Drosophila melanogaster: one gene and its partners. The gene in region 3 interacts genetically with the main gene of each other region. Each region holds a gene or a part of one and is shown on either strand. Other genes may lie near its edges.

The links.
Region 1: of p38a (region 3) and Dhx15, changing one suppresses a phenotype caused by changing the other (phenotypic suppression), as found in Drosophila melanogaster (one study listed by BioGRID).
Region 2: of p38a (region 3) and Ask1, changing one suppresses a phenotype caused by changing the other (phenotypic suppression), as found in Drosophila melanogaster (one study listed by BioGRID).

Annotation. Positions count from the first base shown.
Region 1 is NT_033778.4:7,385,190-7,391,538, reverse strand, and holds Dhx15 (DEAH-box helicase 15), read right to left. Parts: upstream 4,353-6,349; 5' UTR 4,012-4,352; coding exon 3,959-4,011; intron 3,905-3,958; coding exon 3,111-3,904; intron 2,832-3,110; coding exon 2,358-2,831; intron 2,293-2,357; coding exon 2,029-2,292; intron 1,462-2,028; coding exon 1,339-1,461; intron 1,272-1,338; coding exon 918-1,271; intron 860-917; coding exon 732-859; 3' UTR 518-731; downstream 1-517. Other genes in the region: Gr43a (gustatory receptor 43a), read left to right, coding at 41-392, 455-517; cos (costa), read left to right, coding at 4,560-5,211, 5,270-5,981, 6,038-6,349.
Region 2 is NT_033777.3:19,877,748-19,885,742, reverse strand, and holds the start of Ask1 (apoptotic signal-regulating kinase 1), read right to left. Parts: upstream 6,025-7,995; 5' UTR 5,820-6,024; coding exon 5,700-5,819; intron 5,628-5,699; coding exon 5,433-5,627; exon of another isoform or gene 4,861-5,432; coding exon 4,682-4,860; intron 4,260-4,681; coding exon 3,362-4,259; intron 3,306-3,361; coding exon 2,967-3,305; intron 2,901-2,966; coding exon 2,098-2,900; intron 2,035-2,097; coding exon 1,888-2,034; intron 1,548-1,887; coding exon 648-1,547; intron 588-647; coding exon 315-587; intron 250-314; coding exon 12-249; 3' UTR 1-11. Other genes in the region: Arc42 (Activator-recruited cofactor subunit 42), read right to left, coding at 6,493-7,466, 7,535-7,744, 7,832-7,865.
Region 3 is NT_033777.3:24,149,841-24,154,145, forward strand, and holds p38a (p38a MAP kinase), read right to left. Parts: upstream 2,482-4,305; 5' UTR 2,401-2,481; intron 2,302-2,400; 5' UTR 2,254-2,301; intron 2,157-2,253; 5' UTR 2,006-2,156; intron 1,930-2,005; 5' UTR 1,863-1,929; coding exon 762-1,862; 3' UTR 576-761; downstream 1-575. Other genes in the region: p38c MAP kinase, read right to left, coding at 1-342; CG6178 (uncharacterized protein), read left to right, coding at 3,257-3,927, 3,984-4,305.

The DNA of each region.
Region 1 (6,349 bases), on a different chromosome or scaffold from region 3:
TCCCATGTTTTCGTGCTTCTTACCTTCCCGCACTTGACAGCTCCTTCGGCATTGCGGTTCTCTTCATCCTGGTGTCCTGTCTGCTGCACCTCGTGGCTACGGCCTACTTCCTCTTTCTGGAACTGCTCAGCAAGCGGGATAACGGCTACCTGTGGGTGCAGATGCTCTGGATTTGCTTTCACTTCCTGCGACTGCTCATGGTGGTGGAGCCGTGCCACTTGGCTGCCCGAGAGTCCCGTAAAACGATCCAGATTGTTTGCGAAATCGAGCGGAAAGTGCACGAGCCCATTCTCGCGGAGGCAGTTAAGAAGTTTTGGCAGCAGTTACTCGTCGTAGATGCTGACTTCTCCGCCTGCGGATTGTGCCGCGTGAACCGCACCATTCTGACATCGGTAAGGATTTAGACTACACTTAAATAATATCCATGTATTATTCTAATGCTATCTGGTTGCAGTTTGCATCCGCCATAGCCACCTATCTCGTGATTCTCATTCAGTTTCAACGGACCAATGGCTAAAGTTATACAAAAAGTGGCTTGTTTTTTATTAACACTATTAACTAAACGGAGTTCTTGGATATTATTGATCTGTTAAAGTGTCTATGTGCTTGAATCAAGTTAGCAAACAATAAAAAGCAAACGGGTTATTTTTCTTAGAACTTGCTAAAATTCACACACTCTTATCCATGATCCATTCTCCATCATATTACAACTAGCCATACTCTGGGGGGACTTAGAAACCCTTCTGGTACTGCTTGGTCTCCAACCGCTGTTGCAACAACTCCAGCTGTCGTTTCGCCTCGCACTGGGGGAAGTTGTTCAAGTCATAATATTGGGGCGCCAGGCAGCACAACCATTCAGCTATAAATGTAAGAAATGCTTACAAAAATGACCCTGAAATGCGGAAGTTGCTACTCACGTTTGACATCTGTCACCGTGCGAATGTAGTTCTTTGTAGTCAGCACGAACTCATTGTAGATGACCCAATCGGGCTTGTGGTCGAGACAAGTCGACGGATGCAGCTGCACGTTCTGGTTGTCCTTGATGGTCAGATAGTAGCCAGTGCGCTCCAGGTGGGCCACCTGCATGAAGAAGCCCTGCACGAGGGCCTTTCGGATGTTTACATAGTAGTCCTTCGAGGTGAATTCAGTGCTCGTGCGCCGCAAGTTGAAGCGGTCCATGATTCTAGCCAGCTGCTGGCGCACGTTATCCGCACTCTTTAGCGAGCGGAAGTTTATGAAGTTCTCGTAGCACCAGTTTGGATCCTCACTGCCTGAAAGAAATAAAGAAATATGTCTTTATGTTTCCATTTCGAGTATAGGTTGGTTTAGTTTACTTACTCTGCTTAAAGGCGTGATAGACATTAAGCAACGTCAGGTGGTCTCCGTCAATGTGGGCGAATCGCATCTTGGCCTCATCGGCAGCTTTCTTCGCCTCGTTGGGGCGAACGAAGCATTGTGGAACTTTGGCACGTTTGAATTGGTTTAGTTTCGATTAAGCGCAAGTTCAAAACAATTTTTAACATAAACAAATAGATTGTGCTTTCATTTTGTCAGCTAGGCAATCTAGAGGCTTGATTCAAAGATTGATTGCATTTGTGAGTTGCAAGTGCGTTCGCGGAACATTAAAAGATAAAAACACTATTTATTCGGGCATATTTTGCACATCAATCCATTCAAATAATGGGCTTGGACTTTTAAACGCATGTGCAACTTTTCTTTTCGAGTTGAATGCAAAGAACAAATAAATTGAAAAACTTTTTCCTTTGCATTGTTGCTTAAGAAATTACATAAATCCCTTCAAGAATATAGAATATACTTCCCCGAAACCTCAGACTTTCAATTTATAACGTAGAAAGTATTCACGGCAGCCACTTTAACGGAAATAAATGAAAGTATGCATCGGCACAAATCGAAATTAGGTACAAGTCGTATTTACGTATTTGAAAAACGAAAAGTGACAGCCATGAAAGTATAAGTGCGACCCCCAACTTATCGAAGACAGTTTCTTAGATTTGTGTTTTATCTCACCCGACAACATGGCCGTTATGGAAAGTATTTCATTAGAGCAGTTATGTTGGCAGCTGGCAATCAGCATTTTGGCCAGCTGCGGATCCAATGGAAACTCGGACATAACGGCACCCAGGTCTGTAAGATTTCCGTCATCATCCAGGGCGGCCAGATAGTTGAGCAACTCCAGGGCACGCATCAAGGTCTCTGGAGCAGGGGGGTCCATAAAATCGAAATGCACCAGATCATCGATGCCCAACTTCTTGAGCTGCAGAACCACAGTGCCTGCTCAAAAATAAGAAACAAGATATTAGAAATCGAGTAATACTTCCAGGGGATCTAGGCATTACCCAAATTGGAGCGCAGAATTTCGGGGTAGGTGTTGTCCTGCATCTCGTTTTTAAACGCCTTTTCCGTGTACAGACGGAAACACTTGCCAGGACGCGTACGTCCAGCACGACCGGATCTCTGCTGCGCAGACGCTTTTGAAATGGGTGAGACGAGCAGACTCTCCACTCGAATGCGAGGATTGTACACCTTTTGCTTGGCGAAGCCTGGATCAATCACGAACACCACTCCGTCAATGGTCAGCGAGGTTTCGGCAATGTTGGTGGACACCACGACCTTGCGTCCAATTGCGCCATTAGCATTTGGCGGCGGGGCCGGTTCGAAGATGCGCTGCTGCAAATTGGGCGGCAGCGTCGAGTACAGGGGAATGCATTTCAGCTCTCCAATTTCTGAGCCCAAATTGTCGATCTCGCGCTTGATGCGCTTGCAAGCCTCCTCAATCTCCTCCTGGCCCGTGAGGAACATTAGGATATCACCTAGAGTAGCAAAATCAAGTTGGGGTTTAGTTTACAATGGAAAAAGCGAATGCGTCTTTTCCGGCATTGAATAGGATCATATTCAAAAGTCGTAAACACTTGAATGATTACAATACCATTAAAGCAAATACGAAGCATTTGCCGCCCTTCGGCACTCGGAAAGTTTATATTTTGCCTGGCACTTTTACATTGTAAACATATGATCGATAAATGCTTCTTAGAACAATGAACTAGCAAGCTATTAAATGAACTCCAAGCTAAACTCATTTACCAACTTACCCTCAATTTCCTCGCACATGTGTATCTGGATTACCGTGCGAATAGCAGCCTCTAGGTAATCTCTTTCTGGTTCGGGCGTGTAGAAGATCTCCACGGGATGTGTGCGACCGGGCACTTTCATGAGCGGTGCGTTGTCGAAATACTGCTGGAACTTGCCGGCGTCCAGTGTGGCGGACATGACCACCAGCTTAAGGTCGCTGCGCTGACGAATGACCTCCTTGAGCACGCCCATTAGAATGTCAGTGGCCAAGGTCCGCTCGTGAGCCTCGTCAAGCAGAATGACCTGGTACTGGTCCAGCATGGGATCAGACATGGCCTCGCGCAACAACATACCATCGGTCATGTACTTGAGCAGCGTCTTGGCCGTGGAGCAGTCCTCGAAACGGATGGAGTAGCCGACCTCTTCGCCCAGTTTTACGTCCATCTCCTCCGAAACGCGCTGGGCCACGGACATGGCGGCAACTCGACGTGGCTGTGTGCAGGAGACTCCCTTGCGCCCCTTGGATACTGCGAAGTCCACGCACCACTGCGGGATCTGGGTCGTCTTGCCGGAGCCAGTCTCGCCCACCAGCACAATACACTGGTGCAGGCTGAGCAGCCGCATAAAGTCCGCCTGGTACTCGAACACGGGCAGCGCAATGCGCTTCTTGTAGAGATTCTGGTACCGTTGTGAGTACGGCGTGTTGGTCAGCGGGTTCATCGTGGGCGGTTGCTTGTTGGGCACGAATCCGCCCAGGATTTGAGCCACTGTGCCGGCAGCGGCTGCCGCCGACGAGGAGGACGCCTCCGGGTCCCTGGTGAGAAAGGAGCGTTACATTACTGCCGTATGTTGGCCTCGGGTCACTTACTTCTTCGCCTTGCTGCCGTAGGTCTCCCCCACTTCGATTCGACGCTTGGACATGCTAATTTATGGTGATTACTGCACTTAATTCTCAAAACGAAGCGTTTAGCACAAAAAAAAACACGCGCTCAGTGAGACCTTTAGCATATACCGACCATGCTGATCGCAACTTTTAAAATACCAAAGTTTACTGTCTGTGTATACTATATAAGCCCATGGTTAGCGAAGATCACAACCAACAGCACGGCAGCAATTTGGCATTTAAAAAAAAACAGCAGTTCAAGCTTAAGTCTTTTGACGAGAATCTATCTATAGAATTCGGTTTTACTCACCAGTTTGAAGAATAGTTGTGAGCTCACAGTCTTAAAATTGACATTTGACAGCAATTTGATTGGAAACTGATTTTGATTTTTACAGTAACAAACTGTTACATGGATTCGGTATTTTCGGCTTGGGTTGGCGCTTTAGCGTCGGCCACACTATCACATTGTATCGATTCGGAGGGAGTTGAATTTTTGCACGTATTTGAAAGCGCAAAGATGCGAAACAAAGAGCAGGATATCGAATGAAAGAGCTCCTGCGAGACCAGGACTAGTTGCCTAACCACCATGGAAATACCCATTCAGGTAGCGGTGCGCATCTTCCCGCATAGAGAGCTCAAGGACTTGTTGAGGAGCTTCGGCCCCACAGAGCCCAAAAAGGATGCGCAGGCGGTGGATGAGGGGGCGGACTCCAAGGACTCCGAGGCTCAAGTTCCGGCGGCTGAGAAGGACAATCCGTCAATTTCAGAGACGGACCCAAACGGGAATGCTGAGCAGGACAGTGCGGCCGATTCGAAGACAATTCCAGATGCCAATGGCAACGACAGTGGTCAGAAGGATTACCCAGACTCCGCATATTGCGTTCAGGCTATTCCCATCAGCGCTTCGGCCCTGGGATTGCCCAGTGCCCTGCCAGGCGGAGATCCCATGGACAGCATTGCAGCTGGACTGATACAAGTCGGTCCCCACACGGTTCCGGTCACCCACGCCCTGCCCAGCAGCAGCTCCCAGGAGCAAGTGTACCACCAGACGGTCTTTCCGCTCATCACCCTGTTCCTGGAAGGTTTCGACGCATCTGTAGTCACCTATGGCCAGAGGGGCCAGGGCAAAAGCTACACACTCTACGGAAACGTCCAGGACCCTACTCTGACGGATTCCACCGAAGGAGTCGTCCAACTTTGTGTCCGTGACATTTTCTCACACATATCGTTGCACCCAGGTGAGTTTACTAAAAGGATCTTATAAGCATAGTTATCCATTTCCATTTTCACTTTAAGAACGCACCTATGCCATCAACGTGGGATTCGTGGAAATTTGCGGAGGTGATGTCTGCGACTTGTTGGGCATGGGAAACATACACTGCACCAACGTAGATGCCGTCTTCCACTGGTTGCAGGTGGGTCTGTCGGCCCGCCAATCGTTGCCGGCGCACACCCTGTTCACGCTTACCCTGGAGCAGCAGTGGGTGTCCAAGGAGGGGCTGTTGCAGCACCGCTTGTCCACGGCCAGTTTCTCGGATCTCTGCGGCACAGAGAGATGTGGAGACCAGCCACCGGGACGTCCTCTCGATGCTGGCCTGTGTATGCTGGAGCAGGTGATCAGTACTCTCACAGATCCAGGCCTCATGTACGGGGTTAATGGCAACATTCCGTACGGTCAGACCACGCTCACCACTCTCCTGAAGGACTCGTTCGGCGGACGGGCTCAGACGCTCGTGATCCTGTGCGTGTCACCGCTGGAAGAGCACTTGCCCGAAACTCTTGGCAACCTGCAGTTCGCCTTTAAGGTGCAGTGCGTACGTAATTTTGTAATTATGAACACCTACTCCGACGACAACACGATGATCGTTCAGCCGGCTGAGCCTGTTCCCGAATCCAATTCCTCTGCTGGACCCTTGTCGCAGGCGGGACCAGGGGACAACTTTGGCCTACAATTCGCAGCAAGCCAATGGTCCAAACTAGTTACCAACGCCGAGGGGCTATTTTCCAAGTAAGTGTACACATTATTTCCGATGTGGGCCTTTTGACGACAAAAGAAATTTATAGGCTGATAGACTCCAAGCTAATTACTGAAGTGGAGAAGGAGCAGATCGAGGAGTGGCTCTTCCTCAAGCAGGAGTGCGAGGAGTGTCTCAGCTCAACAGAGGCTATGCGTCAGCAAAAACAGTTGGTTCCCATTCTGGAGGCCGAGGAGCCCGAGGACGTGAATTCTGAAGCAGCCAATTCGGAGTCGCCAAACTCCGACAACGAAAACGACACAGACAATGAGTCGCATCGGCCCGATCTGGACGACAAGATAGAAAGTCTAATGGAAGAGTTTCGCGACAAAACAGACGCTCTTATACTTGAAAAACACGC
Region 2 (7,995 bases), 4.3 Mb from region 3:
TTCAACTCCAGTCACTCGCTGCACGAATCGTACTCGCTTTCGCTTTTCTTGATTTTCGTTTTGATGCCCGGCGTTCCGGGAGTTGTGGTTGTGGGTGATGGTAGCGTATTGTTGTTGTCAATAAGCGCAAAAGAGCTATTGCCTCCAATGGGTTTGTGGTAAGTGCTTGGTGGACTGTCCACACAATCGGACGAGGTGCACACACGTTCTTGTATAATGAGTTTCCACAAACGCACTTCGATGCCAACGCTGCAAAATACCAAAAGTTAGTTGAGCATGGATTAAGTGTACTTTTCTTATAAGCTTTAACGCACCGCAGACCCAGCCTCATGAGGTCCAGCTTTTCCATGTTATAGATAAAGTCGTCAAATGTAAAACCTTCATTCAGGATGAGCGTCTTTGAGAACTCGTCTATTTCCTGCTGGGTCAACCACTGCTCCAACTGCTCGTCTACTTCGTGAAGACCAAAGTGATGCTTGTTTAGCTGCCTCCGGGGATTGCCCGCTATATTCGGACGGACTCCGGACGTTCCGCCCACACTGGTACTCATTCTATGGCACTTTTTGTTAAAGCCGTTTATTGTGCGTCTGTTAAGATGAAATTGTGAATTATAATAAAATTTACAATGTCCTACTTGGTTTACCAACCTTAATCTCTTTCTGCCGCCCATGTAAATGTGAGCCAGCTCCTGACTGATATTATGCAGGGCCCTCATGCTCTGCCGCTGCTGCTCAAGGAGCTGGCGTTGCAGCTTCTGCTGATTGTCACGGATGTCTCTCAGGATGCGCGCGCACTCCATCGAACTGGACAGAGCATCCCCGCCCGATTCCGCAGGCGTTAATCCCACACCTTCGCGAGTGTTGCTCGTGGGAAGAACTTTTTCCAGGCTCTGCTTTTCCTGGCTCTCGGTGGAACCCTTCTGCATTAGACTTGTACGCAAGCTCTCATCATCATTTCCAGACAGGTCTTTGTCCGCCAGATTGGCGCCCAGTTCAGGAGAGAAAATAGTGACCGCCGCCTGGACGGCCCGCTTAACCAGATTATCCAATGCGAACATCCAATGGGGTTTGATGCAATGGTACCGCAGTACGCAGACCACGGCGTCCTGAAAGGAGTACAGCGCCAAATGAAGATGGTCCAGAGCAACTGCGTCGTTGTTCAGCTTTTGTTTCAGTTCGTTGATAGTCGCTTCCAAATGCTTTTCGTTTTCGTTCATAATGTAGTCCCGCAGTCCTCGGATTAGAACCTCCAAATCGCTTTTCCTAATCGCAATCGAGTTCTGATCAGCGTCGACCTTCTTCAGCCAAATATCGCAGATCTTGGATTCGTCTAGTGCCAGCACCTTGGAAAGCGTTGTCCGCCTCTGCGAATCCTTTTTAAGCCTGTAAAAACCGTCAGTCTCGCTCGTCTCACTAATGCTCGTACGCAAGGACGGCGTGGAAGGTTCAATCTCTGGCGAGAGCAAAAATCCATGGGAATTTCGCCGTTCAAGCATAAACTGGTTGCTGGGCAGCTCGTCAATGTCCACCGAGGATGAATGCGTTATGCTGAAATAGGAAACAGAAAGTACAATATAAAATTACGTTTATTTTACAATACATCAAGTGCTATCTCTTCTCAGTATCAAAATCCGAGTGCGCATTTTCCAATCATTAAATATGCACTTTACTGATAGCAACAATCAATGTGTTAACTACACGATAAGCAAAGGCACTTGTTACTCTTATAATAGTAGACGATATGGGAAAATATAGAGAAGCACGGAAAAATTTTTATATTCATTAAAATTAGCAAAATATAAATGATAATTTTCAACAGATAAGATAACCTCTGCTTGTAATTGAGGAAGGTCGAACATGATAAGAATAGTCGCAGCGTTTAACTTACTCCAATTCCGGCGTTGTGGGCGTATTGCAGGTTGTGTTGTAGCTCAGCGGCGGTGTGGTTTTGTGCACAAACCGATCAGCCGGCACCGAAATGCTGCGTCCGAACTCAGTATTGATGGGCAGGGCTGGGCGCACCTTGCGGGGTTTACTTATTGAGAAAATTAAAAGTGCAATTAGAAAGGAATTAGGCAAAACAATTAAGCAAACTCACTCTTGTAGGAAGGGATCTTCCAGAAGTTGCGAGGCGGAGGGTCGGTCCATCACGCTGATGGCAAAGCAACGCAAAATAAAGTTCTTTGCGTTGGCGGACAGCTCCTCGGGTATGTTCGGATGCTTCTTGTAAAAGCCCACCTTGAACATGGCCGCATGGGCGCTACCCAGCTCGATAAACGGTGGTTTGCCCGTAGCCATCTCAACGTTTGTGCATCCAAAGGACCAGATGTCAGCCGCCGGGCCATAGCCGCGTACTCCCTGGTCAATCACCTCCGGCGCCATGTACTGCAAGGTGCCCGTAAAGGTCTCCGTCATCGGGTTGATGCGGGCCAGCCGCTTGGAGGTGCCGAAATCGGAGATCTTAACCACGCCGCTATACGTGTTAACCAGCACGTTGTCACCCTTTATATCGCGATGAACAATGTCCTGCTCGTGAAGGTACTTCAGCCCCTCGAGGATCTGCTTGGAGTAGAAGGCCATGGTGGACTCGTTGTCCTTGAGCGGACCCCATTTGGTCTCTAAGAGGTCGGAAAGCGATCCTCCCGGCACCTGCTCCATGAAGATCTTGAAGAAGCCGTTCTCCGAGCACGATCCCAAATAGCGAACTATGTTGCGATGTCGCAGCTGAGAGTGTAACTTAATCTCCTCGTGCAGTGGCTGCACATCCTGCGAGTTCTTTTCCGGCACCTCCTTAATGGCGATTCGCACCTGCGTCTGCTTGTCCCTGGCGGCGTACACGGTGCCATAAGTACCTTTGCCCAGCACCATTTTGCGATTCTGCTCATCGTAGTCGTACTCGTACTACAATTAATAATAATTAGCAAAAGTGGCCGGAATATATGTATATATGAATAATAAATAACTTACCTCGATATTAGCGTCATCATTGCTGAGATTGACAAACACCACCTGATCTGCAGTCATCTCCAGGATCATATCGTAGAACTTTTGTCGTCGTTCAGTGGAGGGAAAATATATTTGAAAATCATCTGAGTTGTGATGGACGTACAAGTAGGCACAACGATCATCCCTCTTGTAAAGGCTGACGGACTTGATCTTCGATGCCACGAAAAGGAAGTCGTGGATTTTCTTACACGCATTCTTTGCGTGAGCCAAACAGATGTTCACAATCTGAATGGACTTCTCATCCGCATCCATGTTTATAGTCACATAACTGGGCATATAAATCTTCTGAGGCTCGAGGATCTGGAATTTGTTTTGAGTTAATAATAAAGCTTAAACTGCAGATCAGGGGTACCAACCAGAATCGGAAAGCGAATGCTGTTCTTAACCTCCTCGGTGTTGGTGGCCTCCAGAAAGAAGTCCATCCAGAACTGGAACACCTGCTCCTCGATGGGCGGCTGGCGTTCCTCGGGCTTCTTTCGAAATCGATGTATAAGAGAGATATTTCCGATGGTCGACTTCAGATACCAGTTGGGTGGCTTTAGCTTGAACATGCACTCGGCAGCTTGAATCGCCTTGGCGTAGTCGTTGGCCAAAACGGAGATCTCAAAGAAGGTGGCCACATCCCAATACTCACTCAGCGAGGATAGGCTGCCCTTTTTACCGATTAAATTGTTTAAGGTCATGCCGATGTGCTGCAACTCCTCCGTATTGGTAAACTCCTTGCCCTCGATAACCAGCAGAGTAGCCAGATTGATGCCTGCATACTCATTCGGCTGCACCTCAAAGCTTTGGCGGTACCACTTGATGGCGTGCGCCAAACTGGTGGCGTCCGTGTAGTCGGATTCCACAAAGATGTCCTTGTAGATGCGGCCGCACAGGCAGAGCATGTCCGGAAAGTGGTTCTCCTTCTTTTCCAGCGCCTTCAGCGAAGATTCCAGAGCCTTTTCACGGTCTCCCTTTCGATTTCTTCGGTTCAGGGCGAAGGCGTACAGGAAACTCATGTTGCCCGTCTCCACGTACTTCCGGGTGTTGGGTATGTTCTTCAGGTCATTGACCAGTCGCACCATGGCATCGTAGTCCTGCACATCCCTCAGCGAGCACATGAAACTGTGTACCACTTCGCCAGACAGGACATGCGGATCGTCCAGCCGCTTTCGCATCTCGTGCAATATACTCTGCAGCTTGGCGCCGTTGGTGGCGTACGTGTCCCGCGCCGTTCGCATGTCACTCAGAAATTTCTCACGCATGTGGGCTCTGTAAATAACCGAAAATAGCTTCGTTTAGTTTTTAGGTACACAAATAATGCATAATAGGAACAGTGTTTCGTGCTCTGGCTGAAAGACTAATTAACTTAGCATCTATCTGGTACACCAAATTTAAGATTTCAATTACTTTCATTTCATTACTTGTTAACCCGTAGTAGTATCACTAAAGTTCGAAGTAATTTAAATTGAAAGGACAATTATGATACTATAAAGAGACTTAAGAATTTTCAGCGATTATTGATATTTTATATGCAATTCCAAGGCCAACACAATAAATCGGTCTGATTCATTTTAGATGCAGGGCGTGACTTTTGCAGCCAATCTGCCGCAGGGGATGTTATAAATAGTGTTCCGATATGCAATCACCGTGCATGACTTACTGCAAAAGGGGACTCCCTAGATTGTACTCACTTCGACTGGATCTCAACATCTTGCAGCTTTCGCTTGAGGCGCCACTGCAAAGTGGGCACTCGTCCTTCGGCATTGGGTTCCTTGCTGTTGTTGCCGCTGTTGGGCTGGCTGGTCAGGTGGCAGGAATTGGTCTCCGCATTCCGCTTGTAGCTGAGAAACAGGTAGTTGGCACACGAGAGCTGCAAGGGGAGTAGAGTGTACCTAATTTAATGACCGCCACTGTGAATGCAGGCCACGCTGCGTTGGTGTACACCGTGCTGTTAGTGTGTGCGTGCCTCTTTGAGTGTTTGCGTGGGCGTGCTCGCATTTGTTATTGTTATTGCTGGGCCAATGCTTTTGTTGCTTTATGGCCGCAGCCAAAACAAAAATAACGAAAACGATTCGACGGAAATACAGTCGAACTTCCATAGTTCAAATTATTGGCTGCCATATGGGAAAGAGGTTTTAGTTATTAACCTCTGGAAAGAGGAAGTTTTTCGGTTTCTTTTGCAATTTGCTAAAGGAAGACTAGTAGATAGAATAATTTTTAGTCATTTTCCAGAAAGAGGTGTCTAAGCACCTAGGTTAGAGACTTGTTATAAACTCAGTTCGCGTTGTGGAAGCTCGACTGTAGAAAGATCAGCAAGAACAACTAGTCCAGGAGTCCACGCAGTTGCTGGTCATAGCATTTATCTTATCGGAAGCGGATTCCCGATCACGAACGCAGATGTTTGCCAGGCACGCCCGGCCAGGTAAACACTTCCGAACGCACCTTGAGACTGAGCGTCTGCTTGGAATCGATGTCGTTGTAGGTGAGGATGTTCTCCTTCATCCCGAAGCTCTCCCTAACGCCGTAGTGATAGGAAAGCGGCCGCTGCTGGGTGAGAATGCTCAGGTCGATAATGGCCACATCGGCGTTGTAAAACGTCTCCAGCACATTCGTCTCGCCGAAGTCCAGGCGCTCGAACTGCAAGGATGCCAAGTGGGGGGGATGTAAGTCAAATCACCCATATGCCATTGTATAACCAAGCTGGCGCACCTGAACCCGCTGAAAGTTGGCGCCCGCCGACTGCACTGCCTGCTTGATCTCCTCCAGCGCACACTGGCGGTCCTCCAGATGGTCGCCCACCGCCGTATCCATTACACACACCACATCCATCGCTGTTTCCATCGCAGCTATTCTTGGCACTTTTCTGCTCTTGGACGGATTTCGCGCACTTCACGCGATTTCTGCACTTTCTGGACGGCCGACACGCGCAGCTCAGTGGCAAAAACTCTCATTACCACGTTCCTGCTGCACTTGCATCGCGTTAATTACCGCGTAACGAATAATTATCAAATAAATAAAGAAACTTTTTGCTTTTGCTGTGTGACCGCTGCACAGCTACCAGCAATATACCGAATGAAGTCACAAAAATACCACACAAATATGCTAACCGACAAAGCCTTGCTGCAGTTTTGGCGCCAAGTTCCCATTTTTTTGAGTCATTTAAAATTTGGTTTAAAAGATATAATATAATTAGGCATATAAAATAATAAGCTTTGTTTATAAATATATTTTAAAAGCACTTAAGGTTCATTATTTTAATTAATTTACAAATATGCAACGTCTAAAAAGTAGTCAAGAGTTTCACTTATTTTACTTTACTTTTTGAACGAAGATTTATTGTTTTGCTAACTTTTTCTAAAGAATTAAAATGTTGTAGGTGTTTTTTTCATGTATTTCTATCTATTATAAACAATTATACAACTCAATAGAACTAGCAAAATAGTATATTAAAAACGTTCTTTATTAAACGAGACACAAGTAGTACGGATATATAACTTTGATCTTAACTAGCATATTCCTTTAGAATGGAGCCCGCGATCACCAGTCGCTGGATTTCGGAGGTGCCCTCGTAGATCTCAGTGATGCGGGCGTCCCTGTAATGACGCTCGGCCGCCATGTCGGTCACGTAGCCCATTCCGCCCAGGATCTGGATACACTGGTGGGAGCACAAGGTGGCCGCCTCCGAGGCAGCCAGCTTGGCCATTGCAGCTTCTTTGGTGTAGGGCTGCTTTTGGTCCTTCAGCCAGGCGGCGCGCCAGGTGAGCAGACGTGCCGACTCCATGGCCAACGACATGTCCGCGATCTTTTGCTGGATGGACTGGAGCTTGGCAATGGGCTTGCCGAAGGCCTGTCGCTTCTGGGCGTAGTCCACGGCCAATTCGAGGGCAGCCTGACCAATGCCCAGCGCCTGGCCAGCGATTCCTATGCGGCCGGCGTCCAGCGTCTGCATGGCAATCTTGAAACCGAAACCCGGCTCGCCCAGCATGTTCTCCTTGGGCACCACGCAGTCCTCGAAAATTAGCTGGCACGTCGAAGATCCCCGGATGCCCAGCTTATCCTCCTTTTTGCCCAGCGAGAAGCCCTTGGTAGCCTTGGGCACAATGAATGCGGAGATGCCCTTGTGCTTCAGCTGCTTGTTGGTGGTGGCGAACACAATGGCTGCCTCCGCCTCGAAGGCATTTGTGATCCAGGCCTTGGTGCCATTCAGCACGAAGTGATCTCCCTTGTCGGTTGCTATGGTGGAAGCAGCTCCAGCATCGGATCCGTTTCCAGGTTCAGAGAGCGCGAAGCAGCCCACTCGTTCGCCGGTGGTAAACGGTGTGATGTAGTCCTTCTTCTGGGCATCGTTTCCGAAAGAGAGAAGCGGTCCCAGATACAGGGAGTTGTTCACCGACATGATGACGCCAGCAGAGGCACAGCCCCTTGAGATTTCCTCCATGGCAATGGCGTAGGCCACATAATCCAGTCCAGTGCCGCCTGATTAACAATAAAGAGATACAATGAGATACTATAAGGAGGGCTGAGGTGGGCGTAATATTAATTACCCAGCTCCTCGGGAATCGCTACTGCCATCACGCCCAGTTCGCCCATCTGGCGGATCTGTTTCTCTGGATACAGGTGCTCCCGATCGAACTTGGCTGCGTTTCCACTGAGCTCATTGTTGGCAAAGTCCCGGCAGGACTTCTGCAGCATCTGGTGCGTCTCCGAAAGCGCCGACAATGAGGCAATTTGACGAGCATTTAAAGATCTGCGGGCTGAATATCAATATCTGGTTTAGGATCTTGCTTATAGAAAACATTTAAATGGCTGGGGCTCAAAGTCCACACATCAGTTTGTCTTACCAATGCATAACGAGCGGGTGAGTACTGATTGCATGTTTGTGTGGGATTGCCTCTTACTAATAATAATTAAATATATTGCATAAAAGACGGATAAAATGTTATAAAAAAAACTCTACTATTACAAAAAATTAAAAATGGACAGTGTGACCAGAGGAGGTCACCGG
Region 3 (4,305 bases):
CGAGTACCTGTGCAAATCCGCGTCCATCAGGTGAGTCACCAAATAAACCTGCTGAAATTCCATCATGTTGTGCGCTGGTGGATGGAAGACGTTCAGCAGGCTGATAACATTTCGATGATTCATGTGCTTCAGCAGACGGATCTCGCGATAGGTACCCTTAGCATCCTCCTCCCTCTCGAATGGGCGCATAAGCCTTTTCATAGCGAAGTAATTTTCAGTGCCTCGTAGTCTCACCTTAGCCACCTGGCCAAAGGAACCGCCACCCAGAAAACGAACGAACTCGTATATATCCGGGAACTCCCAAAGGCTTTCGTTAATTGCCACTCTCACGAACTCCGGCATTCTGGATTAAATGTGCAAAAATATGTCTTCTACGAAAGGAAACAGAAAGAAAACTGAGCTTGCATTTAGTCACCCGCTAAACTCTTATCTTTTCTCAACACCTTATCTATCAGTGCACATTCGACTGACAGAACACTAAACTTGTTCGATTCAGTCATCTGTATGACCGGAGATACACACATATGCTATAGACCCAAAGATCCTGCCCAAGAGGTGACAAAAATAAGGTTTTTAGTTGAATAACTTGATGTTTTTATAAAACAAATTTTTTGTTAAATAAGCAGTAAGCAGCAAAAAAACAAAATAAAAAGTTAACACTAAGAATTGATAAATTTGAGTACAAAAGACATGGTTGGAACATAAAGGCTATAACAAATAAATTGGCCTATGTAATACTTTAAATTCTTGATGGTTTGTGTTCACTTTACATCCTTTAGAACCTGAGCATACGATGGTGGGGGCTTAAAGTTGGTGACCTCCTTGTAGATCAATTCCTTCCATTTGTCTACGGGCAAATCCATATCCTCGAAGCTGTGATCGTATGGTGGTGAGGTCTGCTCGACGCTGGGCTCCGCATACTTCTCCAGATATGGATGGGAAAGAGCCTCCTCGGCTGTGATCCGCTTTTCGGCATCTAGCTCCAACATCTTTTCCAGCAAATCAATGGCCAGCGGATTGGCGTTCTTAAAAACATTTTTAAAACTTCGTCCCTTCATAGGCGGAAGTGACTGGATGTAGGAACGTGCACTTTCCGATGAGATCTTCTTCAAAAATTCGGCGGGTGGCGTGCCCAACATCTCCATAATCAGGTTTAGCTGGTGAATATGGTCGGTGCCTGGGAAGAGGGTTCGTCTGGTAATTAGTTCGGCCATGATGCAGCCCACCGACCAGATGTCCACTGTTTGGTCGTAGTGCATCCAATTGAGCATTATTTCAGGTGCCCGGTACCAACGCGTGGCCACATAGCCTGTCATCTCGTTCTCCGTTGGGCGGGCCAGCCCGAAGTCTAGAATGCGCAGCTCGCAATCCTCGTTGACGGCAATGTTTGAGGGCTTAAGATCACGGTGGATCACTCCGGCGCTGTGGATATACTTCAAGCCACGGAGTATCTGGTAGACTAAAAACTGGACGTGGTCGTCGGACAAGTGCTGCATCCGTATGATGTTGTTCAGATCTGCGTCCATCAAGTGGGTAACCAAGTACACCTGTTGGAAGTTCTCCAGCGATCCATTAGCGGGATGTGGATGGAATATGTCCAGCAGACCGATTACGTTCTCATGATCCATATGCTTTAAAAGTCGAAGCTCCCGGTACGTCCTCTTTGCATGGACAGCTGATTGAAAAGGCCTGGCAAGCTTTTTAATGGCCACATGCATATTGGTGCCACGAACAACTGCCTTTGACACCTGTCCGTAAGCTCCCGATCCCACGGGCTGCAGATCCTGGTATATATCCGGGATCTCCCATTCCGTTCGATTTATATCCAACTTGTAAAACTTTTTTGTAATGGACACTGACATGGTATTGCTTGAGGAAGGGCGTCGTCACCTTAGTTAATGGTGCCTATAAGCGAGATATGTATTGATTCTTAAAATGCCATGCGAACGATAATTCCATGCTGATTACGTTTATCTTGAGGCAGCTCTGCGTCAGTAGTACTTACCTCTGTTCCACGCCCAAGAATATCAACAACTAAGTACTGGTCCCTGGCATTTTTCCTATATTTGCGCTATTACTCCATTCCGATGCGTGTTAGGCATTCATGAATCAGATCGTCAGTGGATCAGATCGATCAGAAGCGACACACGAATGCGCTACATTTGATCAGAGTAAAGTTGTTAAAATCATTTTTGGCACGATATTAAAAAAAATCCTTAATATATAAGTAAATAAATAAAATAATATATTAACCATATCATTGCATTGTAACAAGTCTCTTTTTCCACTCTTATCGATGTCCTTAAATGTGAATAAAGGGATTAAAATTAAATAATTTTGTTAGTTTTTAATAATATTCTAAAAATTAGGTAATATAATATATTTTTAAAGCCCATATACCGTAAAATTTGGAGTGTAGAGCGTTTAAATGAAAATAAACACACGGCGTTGCCAGACCGTCAGCTGACAGTTCAATAAGAATTTATCGAATAAGTATTTGAATCAGCTGTCTCTTGTTTTTCCTGCAAATTTGAGCAGCACCATCCCCTGACCCATTTTTTGTTGCACTTTTGGTGTACTTTGAATGAAAAATAGTCAGAGACACTACTCGCGCCTGCGCAGTTTCAACGCCGGGGTTATCAAATAAGCTAATCTAATCGTTCCGTAAACGCAGCCTGACATTCCGCCCTACCATTCTCCGACGAACAGTTAGTTTCGCACGCAAGCCGCTCCCGCTCGCATCGTAACCTAGAAAACTTTAGCGTATGTACATAAGTAAATTGACGAGTTTATCTGAATGATACTGAATATATTAGCGGTATAAAAGATAAACATTACATGGTTTAACGAGTGTTCGCTTGAAAGCCTAAATGTTAGACCGCAGGGGAGCTGGAAGAAGCCACTTCAACCGCTGTGAACTGCGACCTTTGGAACCTGGACTGGCAAACATGCAGATTTTCTGTAGTCCACTATCTCAGATAGCGGGAACATTGTTAACATCGATGGCATGTTCAGCACAAGTAAAAGATCTGCGAACCGAATGCGATTAGATAGTCCGGGGGGTTCAAAGTATGGTTTGAAGGGTTGCTATAACTTCAACCCCTGAACCGTTTTTCTTTTAATATTTTCGAGGAAAACTTCACACTCCCCAAAGGCGTGTATAATTTTTGGTAGATAACCCACAGTTCGTTATCTTCCATTATAGCTCATCATAAAATGCAAAACTATCATGTTTCTTTCTCTTTGCAGACACAAAATGACTTCAAAGCTACTGCCCGGAAACATTGTGTACGGAGGTCCTGTGACTGAACGACAGGCCCAGGATAGCAGATCCTTGGGTCAGTACATCCTCGACAAGTACAAGAGCTTTGGCGACCGGACGGTGCTGGTGGATGCCGTCAATGGAGTGGAGTACTCTGCCAGTTTCATGCACAAGTCCATTGTACGGCTGGCATACATCCTTCAAAAACTGGGAGTCAAACAGAATGACGTCGTTGGTTTGTCTAGCGAAAACAGCGTCAACTTCGCCCTGGCCATGTTCGCTGGTCTAGCAGTTGGGGCTACGGTTGCTCCCCTTAACGTAACATATTCCGATCGTGAGGTGGACCACGCCATTAACTTGTCCAAGCCAAAGATCATATTCGCCTCTAAGATTACCATTGATCGTGTTGCCAAAGTGGCCAGCAAGAATAAGTTCGTCAAGGGCATCATTGCGCTCAGTGGAACTTCCAAGAAATTTAAGAACATCTATGATCTTAAGGAGCTGATGGAGGACGAGAAGTTCAAGACACAGCCTGACTTCACGAGCCCTGCGGCCAATAAGGACGAGGACGTGTCTCTTATTGTGTGCTCTTCTGGAACCACCGGACTTCCTAAAGGAGTGCAGCTGACCCAAATGAACCTGCTGGCCACTCTCGACTCACAAATGTAAGTTTAATAATATGCTATAAAGGCGTTTCTTTTAAATGATTTTTCTTTAATAGCCAACCCACTGTCATTCCAATGGAGGAGGTCACTCTACTCACTGTCATTCCCTGGTTCCACGCCTTCGGCTGTCTGACGCTTATCACCACCGCCTGCGTTGGCGCACGATTGGTATACCTGCCCAAGTTCGAGGAAAAGCTCTTCCTTTCTGCCATTGAAAAGTATCGCGTGATGATGGCCTTCATGGTGCCACCACTGATGGTCTTTTTGGCTAAACACCCCATCGTGGATAAGTACGATTTGTCCTCTTTGATGGTCCTGCTGTGTGGAGCAGCTCCACTCAGTCGCGAAACTGAGGATCAGATCAAGGAGCGTATTGGA